Neodiprion lecontei: one gene and its partners. The main gene of each other region encodes a partner of the protein of the gene in region 3 in a complex. Links are inferred from orthologs where the notes say so. Each region holds a gene or a part of one and is shown on either strand. Other genes may lie near its edges.

What was found. The genes of interacting proteins can lie anywhere in the genome.
Region 1: DNA-directed RNA polymerases I, II, and III subunit RPABC1 (region 3) and prefoldin subunit 6 share a complex: the UniProt entries of both Homo sapiens proteins name them as parts of the PAQosome complex. The link is inferred for Neodiprion lecontei from reciprocal best matches to the Homo sapiens genes POLR2E and PFDN6.
Region 2: DNA-directed RNA polymerases I, II, and III subunit RPABC1 (region 3) and p53 and DNA damage-regulated protein 1 share a complex: the UniProt entries of both Homo sapiens proteins name them as parts of the PAQosome complex. The link is inferred for Neodiprion lecontei from reciprocal best matches to the Homo sapiens genes POLR2E and PDRG1.

Annotation. Positions count from the first base shown.
Region 1 is NC_060266.1:6,914,066-6,924,171, reverse strand, and holds prefoldin subunit 6, read left to right. Parts: upstream 1-3,525; 5' UTR 3,526-3,818; coding exon 3,819-3,882; intron 3,883-3,964; coding exon 3,965-4,160; intron 4,161-4,564; coding exon 4,565-4,685; 3' UTR 4,686-7,325; downstream 7,326-10,106. Other genes in the region: methylosome protein 50, read left to right, coding at 1-120, 531-703, 992-1,184, 1,299-1,485; glutamine synthetase 2 cytoplasmic, read right to left, coding at 7,703-8,628, 9,929-10,106. UniProt on the Homo sapiens protein: Binds specifically to cytosolic chaperonin (c-CPN) and transfers target proteins to it. Binds to nascent polypeptide chain and promotes folding in an environment in which there are many competing pathways for nonnative proteins.
Region 2 is NC_060264.1:9,171,880-9,180,381, forward strand, and holds p53 and DNA damage-regulated protein 1, read right to left. Parts: upstream 5,081-8,502; 5' UTR 4,964-5,080; coding exon 4,947-4,963; intron 4,909-4,946; exon of another isoform or gene 3,906-4,908; coding exon of another isoform or gene 3,901-3,905; intron 3,588-3,900; coding exon 3,346-3,587; intron 3,248-3,345; coding exon 3,078-3,247; 3' UTR 2,782-3,077; downstream 1-2,781. Other genes in the region: uncharacterized protein LOC107224089, read left to right, coding at 859-912; uncharacterized protein LOC107224090, read right to left, coding at 1-64, 181-302, 521-727, 994-1,078; decapping and exoribonuclease protein, read left to right, coding at 1,129-1,430, 1,630-1,853, 1,990-2,357, 2,538-2,753. UniProt on the Homo sapiens protein: May play a role in chaperone-mediated protein folding.
Region 3 is NC_060266.1:3,233,452-3,240,411, reverse strand, and holds DNA-directed RNA polymerases I, II, and III subunit RPABC1, read right to left. Parts: upstream 1,516-6,960; 5' UTR 1,358-1,515; coding exon 1,056-1,357; intron 963-1,055; coding exon 632-962; 3' UTR 508-631; downstream 1-507. Other genes in the region: abscission/NoCut checkpoint regulator, read left to right, coding at 2,026-2,073, 2,307-2,545, 2,652-2,886, 2,985-3,143, 3,230-3,358, 3,419-3,610; putative inorganic phosphate cotransporter, read right to left, coding at 4,287-5,537, 5,821-6,053, 6,794-6,818. UniProt on the Homo sapiens protein: DNA-dependent RNA polymerase catalyzes the transcription of DNA into RNA using the four ribonucleoside triphosphates as substrates.

The DNA.
Region 1 (10,106 bases), about 3.7 Mb from region 3:
TGACACACACAACTATGAGTTACAATGTTTAGGATATTCATTTGAGCATGACGATGCCATCACATCCGTATCAGCCTTCGATACAAACACTCGTCTAGTTACAGGAGGGATGGATTATTGGTATTAGCAAAAAAATTGCTCAGAGCGATCAATATAAGTTACCTTTAATAAATTCCAAAAACTCAGATCTGTTCATCTTATGCTGTGGATGAAGATTCTAGATTTTGAATCTCATTTTACTTGGTCCAAACTGCTCACAATGTGATTCAATTCTGTGGGCTTCCATTTGTTAAAAGTTACTTGTAACTGATATTCGTTAATCTTACAGCAGGTGCTTCTTTGTATGTTACAAGAGCAGTTGTATAGTTTATGGTTTTTGCAACATTAGTTAATTACTGCGCGCATGCTTGAACATTAACAGTATTACTTATTGCAATAAATCATACTCAACCAATGATGCTAATATTTGGTTGATTCATATCAAAATATGAATTTGTATAATGTAAATGAAATTTCGTTAATTTTTCCAGCATAAAAGTTTGGGATACGGTTGAGTTGTATTCCAGTCATACTTTCAGTCCGGCTCACACAGATACAGTGACTTGCGTACAAGCGCAACCCAAATCCATAGATATCTTTGCATCTACTTCTCTTGATCACGATGCATTACTGTGGGATCTCCGACAACCAAAGCCAGCCAGCTGTATGTATGCAGTTTATGAATCCCTCTTTGTTAATGAATCTAGATTTTTGATCATGGTCATCGACCTTTGTCATCGACTTTTGCTCTGCAAAGTTTTTTGAAAAATAACTAACCTGAAACACTTTACACAAATATTCAACTTTAGCATTGATTTCAATTTTGTAATTATCAGACATAAGCCACAAAGTGTCTTAACTGATGCGAAGTGCTTAATTTCAGATACTTGATAATATTTCACATTCGTTTTCCTCTGTAACATTAGTGACTGTATCATAATACTATTCCAAGGTATAATCAAAAATGTCGAATGTGGACTGACTGCAGCAGCATGGAATCCGAAAAATGTACATGAACTTGTGATTGGAGATGCAGATGGTAGAATTTTAGTGCTTGATGTCAGGCAATCAAATAGTGAACCTGTTTTCCAAAACCCTCGAGCTTTTTCTAGAGGAGTTTACAGGCTTTTATTCAATTCAGCCAGGTTTGTGTGAACCAATTTCGCTTGATTCATTCCCAGTGGCTATGTACATGAGTATAATGTTTCTACAACACTGAAATTATTTTTATACTTGCCCTAATTATTCAATTTGCATAGAAATGACCAATTTGCTGGATGCTGCGATAGTACAGAGGTGAAGGTGTTCGATACAAGCCACAACATGGAAGTGATATACGAAAATAAGAACCATCGTGACTTTGTTCGTGGATTGGCATGGGACCAAAATTGTCTACTAACAGCTTCCTGGGATAACACTGTTCTGGAACATGCGATATCTTCTTGATGTTGATTTGCACATTAAATTACTCGATACAGAATCGACAACTATGCAAGTCATTCGTTATGTCGAGATGTTGCCTCGTTAATTGTCATCTGAATCAGTGCCCTAACAATTTGAAGTTACTGTTTATTTCATACATTTTTAATAAATGCTTACAACATTGTATATACTATTGTATCATTGGTTTCGTTTTAACAATTTTAATACATGGTTGTAATTTCATACATACAACATACCAGTATTCATGAACACAAATAATAACTTCCCAACATGCCATTCTTATGCAATCTCGAGTAAGCTTACATCATTCTGAACTGTGTTAATATTTTTAATCGTAAGGTAATTGAAACGATCATCCCTTTCCCGATTTGTCTCAAAAACGCGATTGAACATGCACTGTCCTTGTGTCAATTTCTGACACATGACACTAAGTTGTTTCATTGGCCTATTCCGTTAGATCCAACCACTACAGTCACTAAAAAGTGTGATCACTGAAATATAGAAATATATTTCATAGCGTTTTCTACTGGTTGCACTGGCTCGAACAGGGGGCATTCGTTCCGTGCATGCGTCGCCCGGCATCGGGGCAAACCTTCTGAGTGGAACACGCCGTAAAACGTATAAAGGCAGACTAGGGGGCTTATTACGGTTCTCGAATCGAGTGAAAATGACGAAAGTGACTGGCTCGCTCTATTACGGTGAATCTCACGAGGTGAAAAGACGTTATCCACATGAATAAACTCGACACGAAATTCGGTGTCGAGAATCGTTCTGCGCATGCTCGTGAGCGTAATTTGCTTGGATTTGCCTGAAAGTTCCATCGGTTTCATAAAAGAACGAAGATCACTCCATATTTGTTGGTTAAAGAGTAAAAGTTATTGATACGTGGGAACTTGTACAATGAATAATTTAGTGATCGTGATTATGCAAAATCGGGAAAATCGAATGCTCAGAATACGACGAACACTACGCGATGCCTCAGACCCATTCAATATAACTTATATATATTTATATTATTTATTACATATTTTATATATTACACTTCTGTCACGTTCATTTTCTTCAACAATTCTTTCTGACATTCACAACAACTTTTCTAGGTTATCTGACAAAATGGAGTCAACTTTCGTGAAAATGTGAGATCCCTATACCGGAAGTGCCTAGTTACTTCACATTTTCACTCGAGAGATCCGTAATAGAGTGACTAAACTCACGTGAGATGAAAATGTGAGAAGTGAGTAAACTCGCTCGAGAACCGTAATAAGCCTCCAAATCATAATTTCTCCTAAATCAGAAATAATGTGACGTTACTTGACTGACTGCGCGACTGTCAGTTTTTTCAAGCAAGTGATAAAGGAGCCAATTGAACAAACGCAACGGTAATTTTTTGTTTGTAAATATATGTCACAAATGTTAGGCACGAGCATACAGGGGCAAAAAAAATTGACAATTCCACTGAAAAGATAAAAATTAATAAGTAGCAAGTCGAGCTGTCCCAATCTCCTGAAATATACCTAGCAGTTAACCTCTAAAAGCTGAAAAAATGTGTATCCATACTTCGATATCGGACATGCTGTGGATTACTCCTAGGACATTTAAAATTTTGGGAATCTCTCCTCTATCTTTCGGCTCCAGCAAGTCATCATCACTGCTAGACGAAGATGAAATTAGATCTAATAAAAGAATTGCTGTCACAGCACCTACTTAGACTCTTTCACGATCGGCAGCCATAATTGCACTGCTTTGACACCGACTCCCGATTCAGGGCAATATTTTACGCACTCAGTGCCAAGTTCACGTACCCGAGCTGCCAGTGGAACACGCTGGAAATTAGTGGAAATACGAGTCTACCGCTAGTGCGCTCTCAGTTCACACTCAGTGCATCCAATGGAAAACGCTATCAGTGGTTTTGATTCGTGTCGGAAAATGACGTAAGAAAAGCTCCTTGGATCTAGTGTCAAACTTCTGGAATTGTCGGGGAGTGCTACTGCAACGTCATAGGCCGATGAACTAGGAAAATTACATTCGGTTGTACAGCCTGCGAATATTACTGTGACTCATACCTTATTGTCTTTCTTGCTTCACTATATTGTTAACAAGCTCTGTTTCAGTTCCACTCACAGTTTCACTAGATTTTTGATATACCAATCGACTTTTCCACCTACATTAAGTTGCTTCGGTTTCCGGAATTGCGTGATGTTTCGACCTAACCTAACATTTATAGAATCCTGCTAAGTTGTGGAAATTAGGGTATTACAGAAATAAATAATTGACCATCGCGTTATCGCAATTCTTGATTTAATTTCACAAGGTAATATCTACATTACTCAATTAAAATGGTTGATGAGATTCAAAAGAAACTTCAAGCTGAACTTGATAAATTTAAAATTGTTCAAAAAGGTAAGATCAACTCTTTCCATTAAAACACTGGATTGATTTTCTCTCGACTCATTAATTCGTTAGAAATATTTCTCGATATCAGATTACCACAAGGCTCTTCTACAACGGCAGCAACTCGATGGACAGTTAAATGAAAATACCGCTGTAAAACAAGAATTAGATCTTTTAAAATCAGGGAACGAGGTTTTTAAGTTAATTGGTCCGGTGCTAGTCAAGCAGGACTTGGAAGAGGCAAAGCAAAACGTTGTCAAAAGAATGGAGTACATTTCGGCCGAATTGTAAGTATCGCCTCAGATATTTCTAATAAAAATTTTAAACTTCAGTACAACATTAGGCAAAACAAGAGTATGAATACTTTGCAACGAAAGGCCATATACAAGATTCTTACTACCTTCGTTACGAATGCTAATTGAATAAATGAAGTCACCTTCATTCAGCGATGTTTGATTTCTTCCAAGTGTTGATTATCGGTCAAATACATTTGAAGTTTGCGAGTGTTTCAAGATTCACGTAAAGCTGAAACTAGCAGCCAAAGGTGCCAACGTTGACTAAAAGAAGGCATAGTGCCGAACAATCGTAAATCTGTCAATTTGATTGGAAAGCTGATACTTTCACAGAATTACAGATACATAAGTATAGTAATAAGACTTGCCAATCGAAGAGTGTTTAATATTGTTTTCAGAAAACGCACTGAAGATTTGATAGCAAACCTGGACAAAAAGCAGGATACTCACCGCGAGGCATTGGCTAAACTTCAACAATCCTTTCAACAGGCTCAATTGAAGGCAGCTATGAAGGCCTAAAAACGATCGGAAAATACATAATTGTTAATAATCTACTAAATAATTCACTACTGCTGTGTACGCTTTGAGATTATCTTGTCATCTGAAGTCCCTAATGTGAACGTTATAATTCTCATTCATATTTTTCATTAAATACATTAATTATCTAATACATAATTAGATCTAAATTTAATTTACTGACCTCGTTTAAAACCTCAATAAAGAATATACTTTTGAAAATTATAAAATCATAGATCCCTTGGAAAAATAATTAACAGTAGATCAAAAAGGTACCATTGCCTCTATTTAATAATCTAATCTTGAAGATGTTGAAAGGAATGTTTCAAAATTGAAATATTAAAAATATATGAAAACTATATATAAAAACTAAATAACTCAATTAAAAACTATAGAAGTAACTAGTTTTTGCTTCTATTTCTGTGCGAAAAAAGATCGTTTGTGGTTCTTCTTATTTCATGAAATTTAAATACTTCCATTAACAGAGTTCGACTTTCGTATTGATATTCGTAAATTGTGCTGTATAAAAGTCATTGTTCAGAATGCGAAACTGGCCAATCTCTTTTAATTCGTTGGAAAATTTCATTCAAAAATCCTACACGTTCAAAAAGCGTAGCCCACAATAAGGTCTACTTATTGTTGATCCGTTTGTATTTCTTCGTAGTGGTAGTTTATAAACGTTTAGTATTTAATACCCTCGATAAATAGAGCGAAATAATTTTCTCGCTGAATATTTGCAGTATGAAGGATTTATTGTCTACTGGTAAAACAACGGGCATTCTAATGATTGTTAAGATCGCATTCACATGTTTACAAGAGTCTTACATAAGTTCTCTGTCAACAACATATAGAATTGACACTTGTAAATAGATCATCCTGTTTACCAATTAAGTCACTGCAGATGTATCGTATAACGCAGTAAAAGAGTTGCGTAGTTTTTCGAATAAGAATCAAGTTGTACGGGAAGTTACGTTTGTTTACCAGCATTTATAATCGAAATATGTCGGCAGATAATTTGAATATTCTATTATGCGGAATCATATATTTCCCGATTAATCTATACTAGTAAACATCGCGGAATCATTTGAATTTTTACATATCTGAATTCTACCGTATAGGTAAGAATACTAAACAAATGCAAATATTTGTCATAAGACCTTGACGGCATTGGTATAATTACTGAAACATTTTTTTTCCCTTAGAATTGTTGATAAAAGTAAATTTTACCCAACGACTATCGGTGATTCATATTTTGGGATCAAATTTTTAGCAAAAAAAAGCAGTTATATAGGCTTCGTCAAATAAAAATATGCTATTAGTAAAATAAACAAACATGTAATATTATCCCGTAGTGTACTAATTTCTTTGCGAACCAAAATCTGACTAAGATGAGGAAACACGAGGATGCAATAAAGTGACCGCATTTTTATTCATAACTATCAAGTGCAAGGTCTTTAAAGTTTGGATATATCTCCGGTAGAAAAACTATGTTCGTAACATTTTTTACGATGGATTTGATAGGATCAGTTTCCGGCTAATCCGACGCCCACGACAACTCTTAACTTCATTCGTTTCCTCGTAATTTCTTTTCATTTTCTATTCCATTCGAAATTTGAATGGTCAAACAAGCTTTCAAGTCTTGCCCTATTGAATATACATCGTTATCGATAAATAATAAGCCGACGCAGTATTTATAAGCAGTCAAGTTTCGTTGTTATAATATATGCCGTGAGGTCTCGAATTTCTTATGATTTAAAATTTCAATGGGAGGACAGGCGAGTAATCGAATTGCTGGGTTTCGAAATGAATTACAGATCCGAGCACCGTTCTTTTTTGCTCATATATTTGTTTAATAGATAACATAACAAGCGGGTATCCGGCCCCAGTCGGTAGCGCGAACCTCCTCCTAAACATAGTAATTATTATCTTTATCGTGTATATAATATTTATAATATGGTAATAGTATAATGATTCGTATCTACAACGTTGATATAGAAAATATGTTTATACAAATAGGAAAGTATATATAATATATTATAATATAATATACATATTACAACGATTACGTACATAATTATATATAATATCTCAATATCATATTAAAATAGAATATTATTGTTGCCAATTGTATGACGCTGGTGCGCTGGCGCATATACATTGTATTATCAATTTTTATTATCTATATTCTTACATTTCGCGTGCGCGGCCGAGAGGTTTAATAGGATTTCACGTTAACGTTAGTTGGGCGTAATTAATTCTTTTGTTAGTATCAACGCGTCTTATTATTGTATACACATATCCTATATTCAATATTGACTCAAATTTGTGAATTATGTAAGGGTATTACACGCGTGTCTGACGCCAGGTTCGTGTATTTCATGGTCACGTAAGTTGGACGTGGGCACAACTGCTGACTTTCACTTTAGCATTTTATTTCAAGCCCTACGCGTCAATTGATATGCGCAGTTCAAAGATTCTTCAGGCGAATGGACCTCAGCCAAGACAGTTGAACTATGTTACGATATGGACGCAATAAAAATAACCCCGTCAATCCTGCTGGTCAAAGATCTATAAAATCGTGATATTAATTCCTCTTGATTAGTTCATAACCCTTCTCTAAGACAGATGCTAGAGGATGTGAAACGAATTAACGAAAAATTATTCATGTAAACTTCAACTGGCTTTCTGTGATTATTCCGGGAACGAACGTGGAGGTGTAGCTATAAAGCAATATGGCGACGAGAACCGAACTATCGGCAAAATATTTTATGTCAATTATGCGAATAGAAAACATATACAGACAACTTGATGCAATTTGCGAGGCTTTAATTTTTTCACATGCAGCCGATAACCTGTAAAAAATACGATAAAAGTGCTCATTAAAAATTAAATACGGGCCCCGAAATTAGGTTAACGTATTTTTTCGCCACCAGATGTCACAGCGTTACATTTCCATTCCCAATGATAAATCGTCGACCCCCCCCCCTCCCCGTATTGTACAATTTATACACCAAGTCCGATTACTCGTTTAGAACGCAAGTGCGAACAAGGGCGTCGATGACGGAATAAGGATCACAGTTACTACTGGGCCTCCTGTCCTCCAAGTACCCTTTCTTGTCCTCGGCGACGCCGCGAGGTATACGAATACTGACGTTCCTGTTCGCGACGCCGGCGCTGAAGTCGTGGATACTGCTGGTCTCGCACTTTCCGGTTAAACGGCGCTCGTTGTCCTTTCCTCCGCGTGGATCGTAGGCCTGGATGTGCCTGAGGTGCTTCTTGCTGAGGCGGTCGATGGCCCTCTCGATCTCGGCGATTCCGCCATCGGCGCGCATCGTCTTCGTCGAGAAATTGGTGTGGGCACCAGCGCCGTTCCACGCTCCATCGACGGGTTTCGGGTCGAGGGTCGCGATCACGCCGTACTCCTCGGCGATGCGGTGGAGGATGAACCGCGCCATCCAAAGGTCGTCTCCCCCCGATATACCGACGCAGGGACCGACCTGGAACTCCCACTGCGAGGGCATCACCTCGGCGTTTGTTCCGGCGATCTTCACCCCGGCGTAAAGACACGCTCTGTAATGAGCCTCGACGATTTCCCGCCCGATCACTCGGTCCGCACCGACACCGCAGTAGTACGGTCCCTGGGGTCCGGGGTAACCGTTCTTCGGCCAGCCCAACGGCCTGTTGTCGAAGTCGAGGAAGGTGTACTCCTGCTCGATACCGAACCACGGCTCCTGATCCTTCACGGCTTCCATCGATTGCATGGCGGCGAACCGCTTGTTACTTTCCGTCGGTGTCTTGTCCGGCTTGTAAGTCTCGCAGAGGACAAGCTTGTTGTCGCCTCTTCGGAAGGGGTCGCGATAGATCGCCACCGGGGTCAGGTAAATGTCACTGTTGGCACCGTCCGCTTGGTACGTTGAACTACCGTCGTACGTCCAAATTGGCAACTCTGCAAATGAACAAACGTATGGTATGAGCTTCGTTAACTAGGTTCATCTTTTCTGAATACTGGCATTGTCACTTTTCAATGCGTCATCTGGTGGAAAACAAATTAAAGTAATGCAATCAGACTGACAGCTGAGCGTTGATCGACGTGTTTTTCACGTGTGGATGTTAGAACAGATGTATTATTGATGTTGGTTAATTAATTTACATGACATGAGTGATTTGAAACTCCAAGAAGTACGATTTGCTTCCATTAAAATTAAAAACTTAGGTTATGTGGTGATAAAATGACGCCGATAATCAGGTTCTGACGTCATGAGGACATTATCCAATACTTGTCATCACGACAGTGGACAGTAAGGTATGTGGAGATTCTCAAAATAATCATTATATGTATAAGGTCACTAATTTGCATCGGTAATCCGTAATAAGCAATTCTTCAAATTGTCGGTTTTAATATATCATGCCGTAGTATACAATTTCATTACAGTGATTACTTCATGATTCGAGAAAGGTACGGTTATTGTTTTGTTTTTCTACTCCATATCACTAAAATTTGTAGCACGCTTTATTTTGCATAATTACGTAACGACTTGGCCTTGGTATAAATATATTCCCGAAACCTCTGGAGACTTTCTCTTATAAAAAGGATTCCAGCATCCAAATACGAGATGTAAGATATTGATAAGCGTATGAACGTAATTTATGCACATATTGCAAACAATTTTTATACATGGGTACTATACGAATCCACGCAATTAAGATAAAATGTATTACTCTATGTGATAACAATGTAAAAGTGACTGTGTATAAAGCATTCACTGCTCTCTTTTTCGCAATTAAGCGTACACCTCCAGTGAAATAAAAAATTATAGCGTATTTAAAACGCCAATGGTTGTCCACATGTGAACGATACGTTTACGAATCCCCGCTAGATTGTCAATTTACAGTCAACAATGTAAAAGTTGACCGTAACCTGACTTGTCGTAATTAGAAAACATCCAAGCGAAACTTCAAAATCTCAATAATTTTCAAAGTTTTCTGATCGTATTGCGTGCTATCAGGGTTCTTTTAACAAAATTTCATAGTTTTAAAGTTATTAGGCGTATATGTACGATTGACGGAGAGAATGATTAATGACCTCTAGGATTCTACTCTGACTAATGAATTGCACAGTTCCTGGTACGTGTACATGTATCATTTCTTCCAGGATATTCCTCGAGTGGACAACCACCGAGTGTCGCGTGACTTGGTAAACCGTCGTTGGATGTGATTATTGTGATATTCAAAGTGTTTCAACCAACCCTTGGGGTCCTTCGGGATAAAATCGACGGTGCGAGTCTTGCTTCGTAGTCCCTCGCCGGTACCATCGATCCAGATGTACTTTGCCTGGATTGTGTTCTCAGGCATGGGAAGGTCCAGGTACCGATTCAAGAGGGTCTTATCGATCCCAGCGTTGGGCGAATCCCTCAACACTGCTCG
Region 2 (8,502 bases), on a different chromosome or scaffold from region 3:
TGCATTTTCGTTCAAGGTTGTAATTATTTTTAATTATTTTATTCCTCTCAATTTCTAATTCTTTCTAAAAAAAATAGTATATACTCAAACTTTGTGTGATAATAGCTAGGTCAATGATAGTGATGGGTAAATTTGTTCAACACCATTACAGTCTTTGAATGTAATCAAGTTTGTACTCACAAGTTTCTGATTCTCTATGTTTAACTTGGTTGTTTTTTCTTCAAGAGCTTCCTTGTTGATATTAAGTTTGTCTTTTGCTTCAGAAAGCTGAAGATACAGATCGTCAATTCTGCGCTGATCCTCTGTAAACAAAATAATAAAGTCAGCCACGGTAGTCTAATTTTCATCATTTCAACAAATATAAACAGAAAATCGGTGTGGAATACCACAGTTCATTAATTAATCCGGAAGTTGGGAATATTTATACAGACAGCCACCACTCTCAGATTAAAAAATCCTTACAAAGGATTCCACAAGGTTCAAATTGCAACAATACGTTTCTTACTGTTCAAATACTAACCAGTCAAACGCACATTATTGTCCGGAACGAAAAAATCAGTAGCTGACATATGCTGGGTGATCATCTTGCATATCGCCGTGCTGCTGGGACAAGGATGATTTTTTTCATGTTTCATAATATCATTCATATTTATTGATATTCGTAGCCAAAGACGCAAGAATGAATTTGTTTCTCTCAGAATTGAGCCGTCCTCAAATTTTGGAGTGCCTGGAATAGTATTACTGTGATAGGTATACACCCGCAAGACAGATCAACTCATTTATAAACAAGCATGACGAATCGGTAATTTTCTCGACTTTCATTAACTCTTCATAACATTTGGATTGATCAAATTACAGAATAAACACAGTAATTGCAAAAACACCACTTGGAGGGCCGTTGATCCGTCATAATATTTTTAAACTGAAGTTTGTTCCATAGCTATGCAATATGTATGGTTTGGACTCCACTGGAATATAATGATTTCAATATACTTTCACGCCATCTCACGGATCTTGGTAGAAGCTGCAAATTATCTGTCAGAATTGGCTTTATTCCATGCAGTGTCAAGGTCGCCATTCTTCACTCTGTAAACAAACGAAATACTGATCTTGATCATTTTTTAAACAATGGAAACCTCGAGATTTCGCATCAACAGATCTTGGAATGGGGAAGGTTTTCCACATTTTAGTAGACCAGAGGTATCCGGCTGCTTTAGTCTAAACGAAAACAGAGAATTTCTGCCAAACACTGTGCAATTGAAATACTTCAATGCATCACCTTCGGAGACTGTCAAATTTGACCTGAAAGTGGGTTATGATTTGGTTATACGAAAAACAGCCGAAGCCGATAATGAGAGATTGGATCACTTGTTACGGTGGATTCTTTTGAATTGCCACAAGATTCGTGCTCCACCTGATTCCGATCGATGGTTTGAATTTTTCAAAATAAATTATTCGTCACAGATTTAATGTTTCAAGCCATTTTTCGTATCGCATTTGTGTGTTGCTAAATTTAAATCAATTTTTACCCAACAAATTGTGAATAAGAATAGAAAATAATTACTGCAAAAAAAATTTGAAACTTTTTCATGCTTGACAATGCTCTTTGTAATTCTTTATCGATTGCAGGTTACAGCCTCATTTTGTATGCTTCCGGGGTTTACTGACAATGCTTTGGTGTACTCCATTTGAGAAACAAGAGGGATGGATAATTTGTGCATCGAAGTGGCAGGGCACGATATACCTTTGCGCCTTTGATACAGAGGAGAAAAAGCTACGAAAAAGCAACATATCCAAAAAGCAGTTACAATTCATGTCCTGGGGATTCAAATTCGAGCAATATTTACTGACTGGTATAAACAATTATTGGCGTTTATTACAATATCATTAATTTTTATGCTTTTCACCATCCGACTTCCTTCTTCTTTCTCAATTAGTACTGTGTACTATTTTTCCAGATTTAAATTCAATGAGTTTAGGATCTTACAGATTCACCTGGACAAGCATCAGACACTTCTAAGCCTGTTAATGAAGGTGAAGAATTTTGCTGTATGTTCACATCTCGCCTTGGCAATAATAGATTATTGTATGGCGCGGAGATGGATGGGGTTTCATCCAATGAGGTTTTAAGAGAGCCGATTGACTGGAAAGGGGTTAAATTTGTGGAACTGAAGACAAGTCGAGTTATTGAAAATAGGCGTCAGGAGGAAAACTTTAGAAGATACAAGTTAATTAAATGGTGGTGCCAAAGTTTTTTGGTCGGCATCGAAAACGTTTGTTGTGGATTCCGAGATGACGATGGTATAGTTAGAAATTTAACCAATTACAGCGTACCAGAGATGACTAGAATGTCAAAGGTGATTAAGTTTTATAAAGAATCCCTCTGATATCACAAAACAGCATGTTTTTCAGAAGCATCGTTAGTGTTAAGTTTTTAGAAAATTTTTTTCAAGTATCAATAAATGTCTGAACAAATTTCGCAATTTTATTTACAAAACTTTGCGTAATTTGTGTTAATTATACCATCATTGTTACAGGGAATTTGGAATGCTTCGGAGTGTATGAACTTTTGCAATGAATTTTTGAATTTTGTCCAATCAGTAGTTACAAAAGACTATAACGAATGTGTCTACAAATTCGAGTGGGTACCAGGGAATGATGTGCAGGTTCATCAGATGGACAGTGAATCTAAGTACTCTTTCCTTCGTCCATGGTTCATCGATGAAGCCAAAGTACAAATGATGAGACGGTAATAGGTTATTCAAAGCTTAAGAGACAAAATTGTATAAAAAATAAACGTGGTTATTCACTGTGACATTTTATTGAAAAGTTTAAATTTTTACAAAACAACACCCTTACTTTTCCAATAACTATAAACAAATAATAAGATGCAATGCTTGCGTTTATATAATTTTTCTCAATGGTTCCGCAACCATAAGTTTCTTTTCTTAAAAATTTAAACTCTTTCAGCTTCTCTCTTCCTATGACTAGTTACAAATAACCAGGTATTTTATATTACCTTTATTAACTTACTATCGTCAAACTTTTCGATCTGAATCTCTTTAAACATCAACCATTCAAAGACTTTTGCCAAGAACTTGATTTACTGCTAACATTTCTTCACGAGACATTGGATTTAGCATTAGTCCTGGAACAGACTGAGTGTGCTCTAAATCACGAAGCTGGTTCACTTTAACTCTCAAATCACTCCTAATTTTGTTGATTTCAACATCGCACTCTCTCTGATCTACAACATGGAAACAACTTTTGAAATTAGTTTGCGAATGCAAAGGATTGTGCTGAATTGACTTGTCTCACATTTTTTATTTTTTCACTAAATTCTACCTTTTGCAAGCAACTCTTGAGCAGAGTTTGTTGACATTTTTATCAGCAAAGGTCCAACAGCCATCCAAGTTTTATCAAATTTTTGATTCCGCAAAGCCCGCTCCCCCATTCTATCATCATTCCTTCGTTTATCCAGTGCAACAATTTCCTGCCTATCCATCAATATCTCTTCAGCCTTGGCCTCAACTTCTTCCAGATATTTCAATGTCTTCTGCTCGTCATTCATTGCGTAGTCTTTGTTACTATGTGGGAAACAGATGATAATGCTAAATATCACAATCGTATCAATAACAATCTAACAATTACTCAGATTATTGCATACGTCTTTTTGAGTACATTGAACATATTTTCATTCTTAATATTTTTGAAAATTTTGGTGAAAAAAATCTGCTTGGTTTATTGTCTCTATTCTGAATGCAATTACCAATCTTATAATTAGGTGTAATTAATCCTAACAAGACATGGAAACAATAATTAATATCAGTTTACAACTTCTTAAAAATCGCAAAGTAGCACATCTTTTTGTACATATATTGTAAGAAATTAAGTGCTTACATCATCCATTCCAGTTGTACCACCAGTCAATGATTCTTTTTTTCACTTCACCAGAAAGGGAATATACTATAAGCTTTGTAGAATAAAGAATATTGACAATAGTAAACGTAATGCATGTACCGAAAGGAATTATGTTATGAAGTTTTAAAACAAAGTTCTTAAGAGGGGATCCCAGTCCGGAAATTTTCAAAAATCAATATTTTCTCTTTTATATCTTTGAAGTGAAATGCTTTAAGCGTATTTTGAACCCAAAACAATAGAAAAAATCTAAGAATTGACGAAGCTGCAGCCATTGAAACGAAACAGTGAGCATCGATATTCGATATCAGTCGGTTGCGATTATCTCGAAACTACATTTCTTAATGCAGTATGACTGATACCTTGAGTAACAGTCACACTATTGATTTGGCCTTGTGCGTTTATCCTCGAAACAGCAGGCATTTTCAGTTCACATAGGCTCTTGTTATTTGGATAATTCATTTGTTAATAATAATGAAATTACCGTGTTTCTTTAAAGTGCAAAGCGGAGGTCTTGCCTTCAAGAGGTTGTAATTTGGACAATTTTCAAAATTTCCACACAACTTACGTAAACCGATAACCAATAACTTATAATTTAAGTATCTTTCTTCTTTTCACATAAAATTTATAACCTTCAGATATCGCACCGATTGGGCACCCACGTCCACAGGGCCGCTACACCATTGCTTATACCACAGCCTGTTTTTGATATTTTTACACATAAAAAATCACACAAGTTCACAAATATATGTAATAAATCTTGAAAAAAAGTTAATTCATTAAGACTGTTAGTTCATTCGTAAAAAAAATCATGATTCTAACTCTTGAAATGCGGCTTCCAGACTGAGAATTCCCCTTAATTTGTAGAATGATGCATGTTGTTTCAACGAATGATTTTCTGCTGAAGTCTCAGATATTAACAACATGATACATTGTATGAAGTGTGACTGTTATACCTATAGTAGAATACATGGACTAATGTATCAAAAAGAAAAAAAAAAATACAGCGTAATTATTTTTCATCTTACACTGCCAAATTCTTCATGTTCAGTCTTACAGTATTGGGACTTTCCAAGATTCTATATGGCAAGAATACATAGTTGAAACATATGATGTAGGCACTTCACTACTTGGGGTGCATTCGAATTGAGCACTTAAGCGCTTTCAGTACATACATGTAGATATACATCGACGTATAAACTGCTATAGAACGTGGCTGTCACAGCTCTCAAAACGCCCAAGTTGAACACACCCTTGAACTGTAATCTCAACTGTCTCTGCTACGTCACTATTTATATATTGTACATAGCAGTTCATACTAAATCAACTATCACACCATTGATTTTTAAACAGTAATAAAATACACATCTCATGGTTGTTCAATCATTGAATATTAGATTCGAGAACAAGTGGTGTGAGAAAAACCTGTTACTCGTATCGTTTGATCTTATATAGCTTCTTTGGTCAACATCCCTTCTCCATCTTCATTTCATCATGTCGAAGTTACAATTTTAGTTACGTTATTGCAATGAGGCATATTGAGGCAAGCCGTTATTTTTGAGATTATAACTATCTGAATTTCAGTAAGCGGTTATACTTATATTTTGAAGACTTATCTCCTTCAAAGTCCTTGTAACATGGAAAAATAGTGAATAATCAACGTTTCATTACAATGACATAACCAATTTCAGCCTCGTGTTTTTTCAACGTTCTCCTAATGACTCAATTATTCTAAAGCAATTGTATTGCTTTTTAGCCTTTTTTCACTCCTTCATCAATCTTTTCTTGATTTCTGTAGAAGAATTCTTATCTGATGCTCCGCACTTTTCTTAAGAACCTCAAACTCAATATCTTGATCTCCATACGTCAAGTTTTGTTCCATAATAAATTTACGTTGCCTCAATATTCACATCTCCTTGTCTGATATTTTTTTAAATGGTCAATATACGAACGATCTTTGTTCAATGTCAACTAAGCTGTAGTGATGACAAATTTGTTTTTCCCCTTTTATAACTGACAACTTATTCAATCAATTCTTGCAAACAAATGATAACTGAATTCGAATGTTTCTTTGAGAAATACAGGTAATTTCTCTTTTCTGATATGAAAGTAAGCATTATAATAAACTTTCTTGTGACCTTACACTTGCAGGAAGCTATTGCAATTCAATTGAATAGTTAGACATCTATCGCAATGCCAGCAGCAGCTGAATTATAGCTGAAAATGTGCGAATTCAAGACAATGCTATTCGTATCATTCGATCTTTCATAGCTTCTCTGGATAATAATTTTTCTCTATCTTTTTTCCTTAAGGTCTTTGGACGGATTATCCGTACTGGAGAGACTGCAGACACATCCTCTGGCTTAAAATGAGTTATTCGAGCTTCTTTGTTATCTCCTTGGCCAAGACCTTTACGATCTCTTTTAAGAATTGTCTTGATTGGATACTTTGCGCCCTGCCCCGAAGGTCCCAGCCCAGTTTCTTCGTCCCATCCAGTATTTAAAAGCATTTGATACCCTTTGTTTTGTTTTGCTATCCCATATGCAACACAGCGCAATTTTGGTTTAGTATTAAAAATGTGCAGTGTCGAAGACTCATGCTGTTTAACAGACGTTTCTTTGAAAGCAGTTTTACATATTTCGCAATAAAACTCGAATTTTAAATTGTTGGCATTTTGTTGAATGGATTGTAGCTCGTTTTTAAATGACCCCTCTACTTTCGTTATTTTGCCACGTTCATCATCACGTAAAGAAACAATGTCAGACTTATCGTGTGACAAAGTTGGGCTACTTTTAATATCTTCAGGGTCTTTCTGACTATTTTTCTTCCTTAGTAGAGCTACGATATTCAAATGATTTCTTTTAAGAGCTAATTGAGCTGCTGTCAAACCAGATTTTTCCTTTGCTTTCTTATTCACTCCAAGTTTCAACAGATATTGAACAATTTCAAAATTGCCATTATATGCTGCTGACATCAATGGTGTCCACCCGAAATCGTCCGACACATTGACATTATCTGAATTCAAATGTTTCCTTAAGAAATGTAAATCGTTCTGCTCGACTGCTTTCAAAATTGAGTTTGTACTGACATTCGTTATGACTTTTTGTGTAAATAGAGAATTGCTAGACTTGAGCAGATTACTCTGTTGTTCTGGAGCTATGTCAGGTTTGGCCAAGGTATCCGGTTTAAAATTTTGGCAGATGATACCTTCGTAAGTTTTCTTTGCCTCGATTCCTTGAAAATTAAGTCGTCCAGGAAATTTCTTTGCAGATTTGCTCGGTACCTCAGTGGACTCCTTGACAAAACTTTTCCAAGGTATGTCAACCGTAGTTAACGCAACCCAGTTTGAATGCAAAGACATTGCAAAGTGTTGTCGTTCAAACCCGAGGTTGTAAATATCAGTTTATTTCGAAAACTGGTGATGCACAGAATTAAAATAAGCAATTTGATGTGTAATTTTGCTAGTTGGTGTTGACAGCTTAAAAACTTCTCTGTCAATGTCCATGGTTAGGAACATTATTACGACAAAGAAGCTTAACATCGTTGGAATGCTTATTTGAATTTTTTACCTTAAAAATTTCTTCGATTTTAGGCTTTTAGTCTCTCATGTCTCTTATTCGGGTCACGAGGCTATGTTTACGACAAAGTGATAGTTACGATCACAATTTCTACTATAAGCGGTGGCCATAAGTCTGAGTACTTCTTAGGGTCTCTACTATCTAGGTACTTCGTGATGTTAACAAAATAAAGTGTGTTCTTCCGGCGGACGCATTTTCGCCCCGTTCTGCGCCGACCACATGGAAGCCATCCTTTTAATAACATCGAATGCAATTATATAAGAATCCAAGATGGCCGTCATATGGAAGAGATACCACGAGGTACGCGATTAGTTCTCAAACATGGCTGCGCAAAAGCATACCGTTTCGTTCTTACCTAGAGCATATACTACTCACTCAATACTACTGGAGGCGTTGACTGGAGGAGTTGACTGGAGGAAGTTTCGCGTGTATAGAAAGTGTGGCGGAGGAGTGAAATAGAGCACTCATGCCATGTACAACCTGTCTCTCTTACGTTACAACCTGATTGGTCGATACACGAGCTACTGCTGTCATCTAGCGTATCACTGTGGTATCAACTTTGAGCGGAAACCGAAGGTCAAGTGGATCGTCATAAGCAAAGAAAAATAAAATCCAAACTGACAGCCGCCTTTGAACGATCACGTCTGACAAACCCTCGAAGCTGTCAAACGTCGTCTTGTCGTCGTATCAATACCTGCGTGGTAAGCATCAATAATGACATAAGGACAGAATTGCGTTGTTCTTTACTGTCCGATCGATTCGTTTATTTATGCTAACGTCTACTTTTCATAACTCCAATCCACATAAATGTGACGGCAACCGTATAATTCAAGATATAATAGGTTAAAGTACGTATGCAGCACATCCACTTGCGTTTCCATGGTATTCTTGTAAGAAAGTATTCTACAATATACGTATCCCAGTTTTGTACGACATGAAACATATTCACATAGCGCATATGTATTATTTTTATCATACTTAGAAGATCTGAGACTCCCCAATTCCT
Region 3 (6,960 bases):
CTCGTAATAGCATCGTCTTTGATCGATTACTTTCTTATTTCTGAGATAAACAAACTGCGTTTCGAGGTTAGAATTGTTTATTGAATGACAACTTCGGTTTGAAAATCAGTTTTTGACCTACTGCGTATTGTTTCTTCACAATTCTGGGTACAGTACGAATGTAAAATGTTTGTTTCATTTACTCTTTGTTAAATGTCAATATTTTTCGACTCTTAAATCTATCGAGTTTAATATTTAGGTAACCGTATTTGAGGTTAAGTTGAGATGAAGCTGTTCAGTACCTAAAGTCCGTATTTTAACTAAGCGACATGGATATTGAGTCCTGCTATTGGCTCAATTTTTACGATATGGCACGATGGGAGTGGTTGCTGATTTTGAGCCAATGATGTCGCTCCAATTTGCATGTAGCTGCAGTGAAAAGAAACCCTAATGTTTCATGGAAATATAATACATGAAATCCTAATTTTCTCAACTAAAGTAGAATAATTCACAAAAACAAATTAAGCATTTTCGTTTCATAGAAATTTTTATTCGGATAAGAATATTTGTTTTCTTAACATTAACTTGAACATGATAAAACTTAAAATATCGTGTAGGGGAAGTATAGAATAAAATTGTGGATTTTCTTCCGTCAACAGACAAGCCTGTAGGATATATATCGCCCGGCAGTTTCAGATGGTCTGATAATTTTGACGACCTGTCCACGCTTTAGGCCAAAGTAACGGGCAACTGGGTCGCCGGCTTGTATGCGCATGAGCATATTCTCCTTGAGCTTGTATCTTGAGAGCAATTCTTGCTTTTCTTCAGGTGTCATAACAACATGCTCGGGAACCAGTTCGTGCTCAGTTATGTTTATCAGTAATTCAGACTCCAGAAATTGTTCTAGTATGTACTTTGGTGCCATGTCGACTAGCGACTGTTTAGCTGAAGGTGTCATTCCCTGCTGAACGACGATAGTTGCTCTGAAAGACATGAAGATGACATGCAATTAAATGATACAAAGCAGGCCATAAGATACATATGCTTTTTGTTCCATCAATCCGTATTCCCATTACCTGTGAATTTTTTCTTCTTGCATGCGCTGGCAGTATGTCTTGATTGTTTTTATGCCGATCTTGGGTTCGTCTGGAAAGAACACGAACAGCTGATCGGTCGGATCGTCGTTGTGGGCGACAAGTACGATAAGATCACTTCTTGCAGGTCTTTTCTCACTTGGTTTGTCCCCGAACTGTTCTTTGAATTGTTCCAGGGTCTGATCGAGCTCGTCCTGCGTTACGAGATAACCTCTGTCGTGGCATAATTGCATCACGGTCTTTCTTATCCTCCACAATTTGTACGTCTCAGCCTCGTCGTCCATTGAAAATTAATTTCTGCTTAGATTGGTACTTTGAACGATGATTTTCTGCCTATTTTTATCAATCTTCTGCAGTATTAGTCGCGTTTTTGTGGTTAATCAAACGTCAAACAGTCCTTGGTGCACTGAACGCGTGGTTCGTGATTCGAGAAATGCGATATATCGATGTTCACTTCTCGCAGAAATGTGCCAACGGTCTATATCGATAACCACAACTATCGATCAATTTTGAATTGCCGTATTTTGCATCGATGAACGTTTTAAGTAATGAAAAATAAGCGAAAATAAGGAATTAAAATCAATCGAACAAAGCACCGTATTATTACACGACTTATACATCGCAGGGTTATAATAATTCACTCTGAAATTCAGTAGTCAATTAGCGGTGTGGATTGTAAGAACGTTCCATTTTTTGAATTTAATTTGAATCCTGTCGATATACTATCGATAATCGGATATGCGTCGAAACTCGAAAGCGCTGCAGAGTTGTCCGTTAGCTGCAAGATGGACGATGATCTTCGAGAGAGATCACAAATGATGAGAATTTGCGCATTGAGGTGCGGCAACGGGAAATAATTTTAAACGGTATCTGGGCACACCAGTTTTTCACATTTGACTCAAGTTTTCGAGTCTTCTGCTCACGTTCAACTGGCACGAAGAGGATTGATGAAATGTCATGCAACGCGTGTCAAACAAAATTCACCTTCTTTACTCGAGAGGTAATTATAAAAATTCGTACTATCAATTCCACTCTTGCATATCGACCGAGTGATTCATACTTTGATTATACAATTACGCAATATTTGTTTAGAGTTATTTCGTTCTCTTCTTTTTTTACCCCCAAATTCCTTATTCTATTGTTATTGTTTATTAGCATGCACAGCAACAAGTTAGAAAAATTTGACACAAAATTTGCCATATTCATATCAATACTTTTCAATGTTTCTTCCAGCACGGTTGTCCAAGTTGCCATTTTTCCTATTGCGCCAAGTGTCTCAGGTACAAATTTGACCTGCCAGATATTGGCAGCACAAAAATATGCGGCAAGTGCTATTATCGGTTGAAAGACGGGGTGGAGAACAAGGCAGAGGAGAAGGTTCAGTCTGAAAATTTAAAACCTCAACTCTCAACACCGTCTGAGGGACAACCGTTGTCCGTCGAACAAGTTGCTCCAATAGATATTACTCAGAAGTACGCAAGTGGAGATGAAGAGATGGAATAACTTATTTCAGTGTCATTTGTTCAATTACTACATCTTCAATGATAAACATTCATTAATCTTTCCAAAACTGCACAGATTAAATTCGCTTGAAAATCCGTCCAAACCACCGATTGTTTTGTACAAAAAGGAGATTGGACGATGGGATCGCCTGAAGTCTGGACTAGATCCAGCGGATCAGAATATGGTTGATCGACTTAGGAAATTGAAAGATGAGGACAAACCTGTGCCTCAAACTAGCTTGGAGGAGATTAGAAGAAGGCTTGCTCTGCTCAAGGATCAAGACCCTAATAATCCTGTTCCTCAAACTAATGTGAGCTGAAATTAAATACATTGCAATTGTATATTTGTATGCTAGTTCAACTAGCTCATTGACTTTTGTTGCTCCCAAATTTGCCACTTCTCTTCAAGATCCATTCAGTGGATACGAGGTCGGATGAACAAAAGACTGCAGATTTGATAAATGAGTATTTGGAGGAACTTAAGCTGTCTTCGGATGTAAATTCGGATGCACAGATCGAGGACAGGCTTGCCAGATTGAGAGGAATAGATCCTGCGCAAATTCGCAAGGTCAGTATTGAATAATGGCGAAGAATCTTTCAAGATCACAACTTGCTGATATTCATGGTTTATTCCTCTGCTCTGTTTTCAATCAGAACAAACCTGAGGACATTGAGGAAGATGAGCAAACAGCCACCAAAAGAATTATTAAAAAAGCTTTGGATGAGGCCGCGATAGAGTCGAAATTTGCCGAACTAGATGACCTAGAGCCTATGGATACTGATGTAAGTGCAGCAGCGCTTGATTTGTATATCAAATCTCTTGTGATTTTTAATTTTAAACAGCCAGCTGAAGAGGAAGAAGAGTTACCCTGGTGTACAATTTGCAATGAAGATGCGCAGCTCCGCTGCACGGGATGCGACGGTGATTTGTACTGTACATCGTGCTTTCGGGAAGGGCATGACTCGTTTGAAATGGTCGATCATCAGAGTGTGCCTTTTACGCCACGGAAAAAAGTCAAAAAAGTTGATGATTGATGGATTAATTCGCTAAAAATATCGGTATTACTGGTACTTTGCAATTTACATGCAAGAGATATTGGTTTTCTCAAATTATTTCAAGCTTTCTTACGCATAGAAAAATATTCTAATCATCACATAGACTCAACTACCAGCTTTTGACTTACGATTCGTAAACAGTTGTGCAATTGATCTAAGGTATTAAAAAAAATTATACGCATATATTTATACAAATACACATAATTATATTTATATAATTTTATACATATGTGTTTTAACACTTTTTCAATGTAGTTTTTATTTTTGCTTCTTCTATTCGCGGTTGCAATGAAGTACACATACCTTTTATTTGCATATTTATTTATACATATGTATACATAATGTGATATCTGTGACATCAGTTTTTAGGATAGTTGCCTGTATTTTCAAGAATATATTATGTTTTAACCTCTATCCGATATCCGTGTTACAAAATTTAGAATTAACGTTGCCCAGAAATATTTTGGCAGGCAACTCAATATGCAGTCGCGTGTGCCTAGTACCTGTTTGCAAAGTTCTTTCAAAATTGAAAGTTGAGCTTTCTTTCAACAGGGGTTGAATAAAAGTCGGCAGTATAAGAATTTTACTTCCTGGAAAATCAGAGTGACTATAAGCATATGCATGTCATTTTGTACAGCAAATATTTCGCACACAATTAACGATCATGCTTGTGTGGTGACAAATCGTCGTTACGGACCCTGCGTTGTTCGGCGTTGATACCAGTATCCTTCCATCGATGATTCGAAACAAACTCTGAGTCATTCCAGTACTGAACTTCGCCGTCAGCACAGAGTCCATAAATGGTAGACGTCGCTACCAAGGTGGAGGAGGTGATCCAAAACACGATCCTCCATTCCAACAAGGTCTGATTAGGTGTGAGAACGCCTACCGCGTAGGGTGCCAGGATCCCGGCAAGAGCGCCGCTTCCGTTTACGATGGCGGTTAGGGTTCCAGAGTAGTTTGGACTCAGGTCTAAGGGATTGACCATGATGCCGGGATAGAACGATCCCATGAACCCTATGCCGACCGTGAAGAACACGACGGCCATAACGCGGTCGCATTCGGCATATGAGGCAGCGAGGACGAATATCGCTGGAAAGAGGGATCCGCTTACTGTGCAAATCTTCCGGACGTTGGTCCTCGACATTTTGCCAGCTTCTATGAGCCAATCAGCGAGCCAAGAGGATGCTATGCCATCGAGCCAGATAACGGCGAAAGGAAGTGAGGTCAGAAGCCCGTTCGCCTGTATCGAGAACTTGAGGACATCGTTCATGTACTTTGGGAGGTCGGTCAGTACCATGTAAAAACCCCAGGAGAAGCCCATTTCACCAGCAATCAGAGCCCAGACCGGAGCCGAGGTCAGAATCTGCCGCCACGGGGTTGGTCCGGTCTTCTTGTGCGTGTGTTCCATCGTCATTTCGTGCAGGTACGTCCGTTCCGCTTCCGTTATGAACGGATGGACGTTCGGCTCACTGTAGCACAACAAGATCCACGCCAAGAACCAGAGGACTCCCATCCCGCCGTAGACGTAGAAAACCATCGGCCAGCCGATCGAGGAGTAGCGTATCAGGAACCCGGAGAGAACCGTTCCCAGGACACATCCGACCTCCATTCCCGACGCTGCCACTGTAACGAGCTTGGATCTCTCCTGCGGTGGCGCCCATTGGGCTATTAGGACGCTGATCGCTGGAACTGTCGATCCCTGGCTGACCCCAGTCAGGAAACGGAACACTATCAGACCCGTTGCCTCGTAATATTTGACTACCAATGGTGTCAGCAGGGTCAGTACAGCTGTTGACAGTACCGCGATGCCTAGTGTGTACTTTCCTCCAAATCTGTCGGCCAGTATTCCGCCTGGTACACTTGTGATCAGGTAGCCCCAGTAGAAACTCGACAGAATTATGCCCTGAAATATTATTTCATCCATCGCGAAAAAGGGTAAACTTTTTGCCACATCGCAGTCTGATTTTGAACAGACTTAATTAATGTCATGTTTGCAGTGTTTTGGGCTCGAGGGGTTAATCACTCATCGATTTGATGTTCACCTGATTTCAAGATTACAAGGATTTCAAAAGATTTCAAGCGATATCCGGAAAAGTGTAAACCAGATTTAACGAGTGATTAACCCCTCGTGTGGGCCCTTCTATGCTTTCTTATGGTATAAAATCCCGATCTTCTAGTCTTCTGACCTGCGTGTATTCGTCCCATTCGTAAGTGCCATCTTTACTTTCACTGCTTGTAATATTCGATGAGGTGAAATTAGCTGAAGGACAAGACTCGTATGAAATGTCATTCTTCGAAGCTTCTGTGGTGGCTACCATCTCAGTGATTGCCAGAGACAGGCAAATTCTCATTGTGTAGACGTTCATCATTCCAAAACATCCCATTACCGTGAGTACCCATCGCTGGGGTATTCTTGCACCTGCAAAATCGTCGCTTATATCCAACAGGTAGATAATCGTTGTCAATTGTTGTTTGTATCTCTCCGTATGCAACTGATTACCACTGACGGCACATCACCTAATTTCTACTGAACTAAGAATGAAAGGGAAATTTGAAGTGCATCTTTACTGTTGCCTTCTTTCTATTTCCGTGACAATGGTTACTGACAGAGCATTTATCACGTATGAGTGTTTACTGATTCATTCGTCCAAGGTATTTGGAGCAGTGTGAACTATCTTGATTACAAGATTTTTAAACCTATATTATAAGAGTCAGGTGTCGATAGTTGTTGGATTGATTGATCTGAGTCACAAGGTAAAGTCTGGGTAGTTTGGATTTCATCGTCTAATCTTTCCACTTAAAATGCAGTCGTGCGTTTAACATCGTGAAAAATGATGTTAAACTGCAATTCGACAATGATTCGATCGTGACTTTTAATATTTATATTTTTTTCTATTGTAAATCTAGAAATTTTTAAATTCCTGCCTACATTAAAAGTTCTACATTAAAAATTCTGTTATAAAAATCCGTGCTGAAAATCTGCCGAGAGAAATCGTAGATATATTATGTTTGGAATTCGGATTTTTTCTACATCGATTTATATAACTTATGTTTTCTGGGAAAGATATTTAAATTTTTTTTAATCGAGCCGAGAGTATTTTTCAAATTCGAAATATGTATATAGATACACTATAGCTGTACTATAATTTTATGACTTACAACAAATTTTCCACGTGGAGAACATCTTTGAGGAATCAATGAATCGAGGAAATTTTTAACTGGAAACTCACACTCGATAATTTATTGAAGAAAGACAAGATTGAAAAAGTAAATGAAAAGATAAATAATTAACTGCTAACTGAGATCTGATGTTTGTTACACTCTTC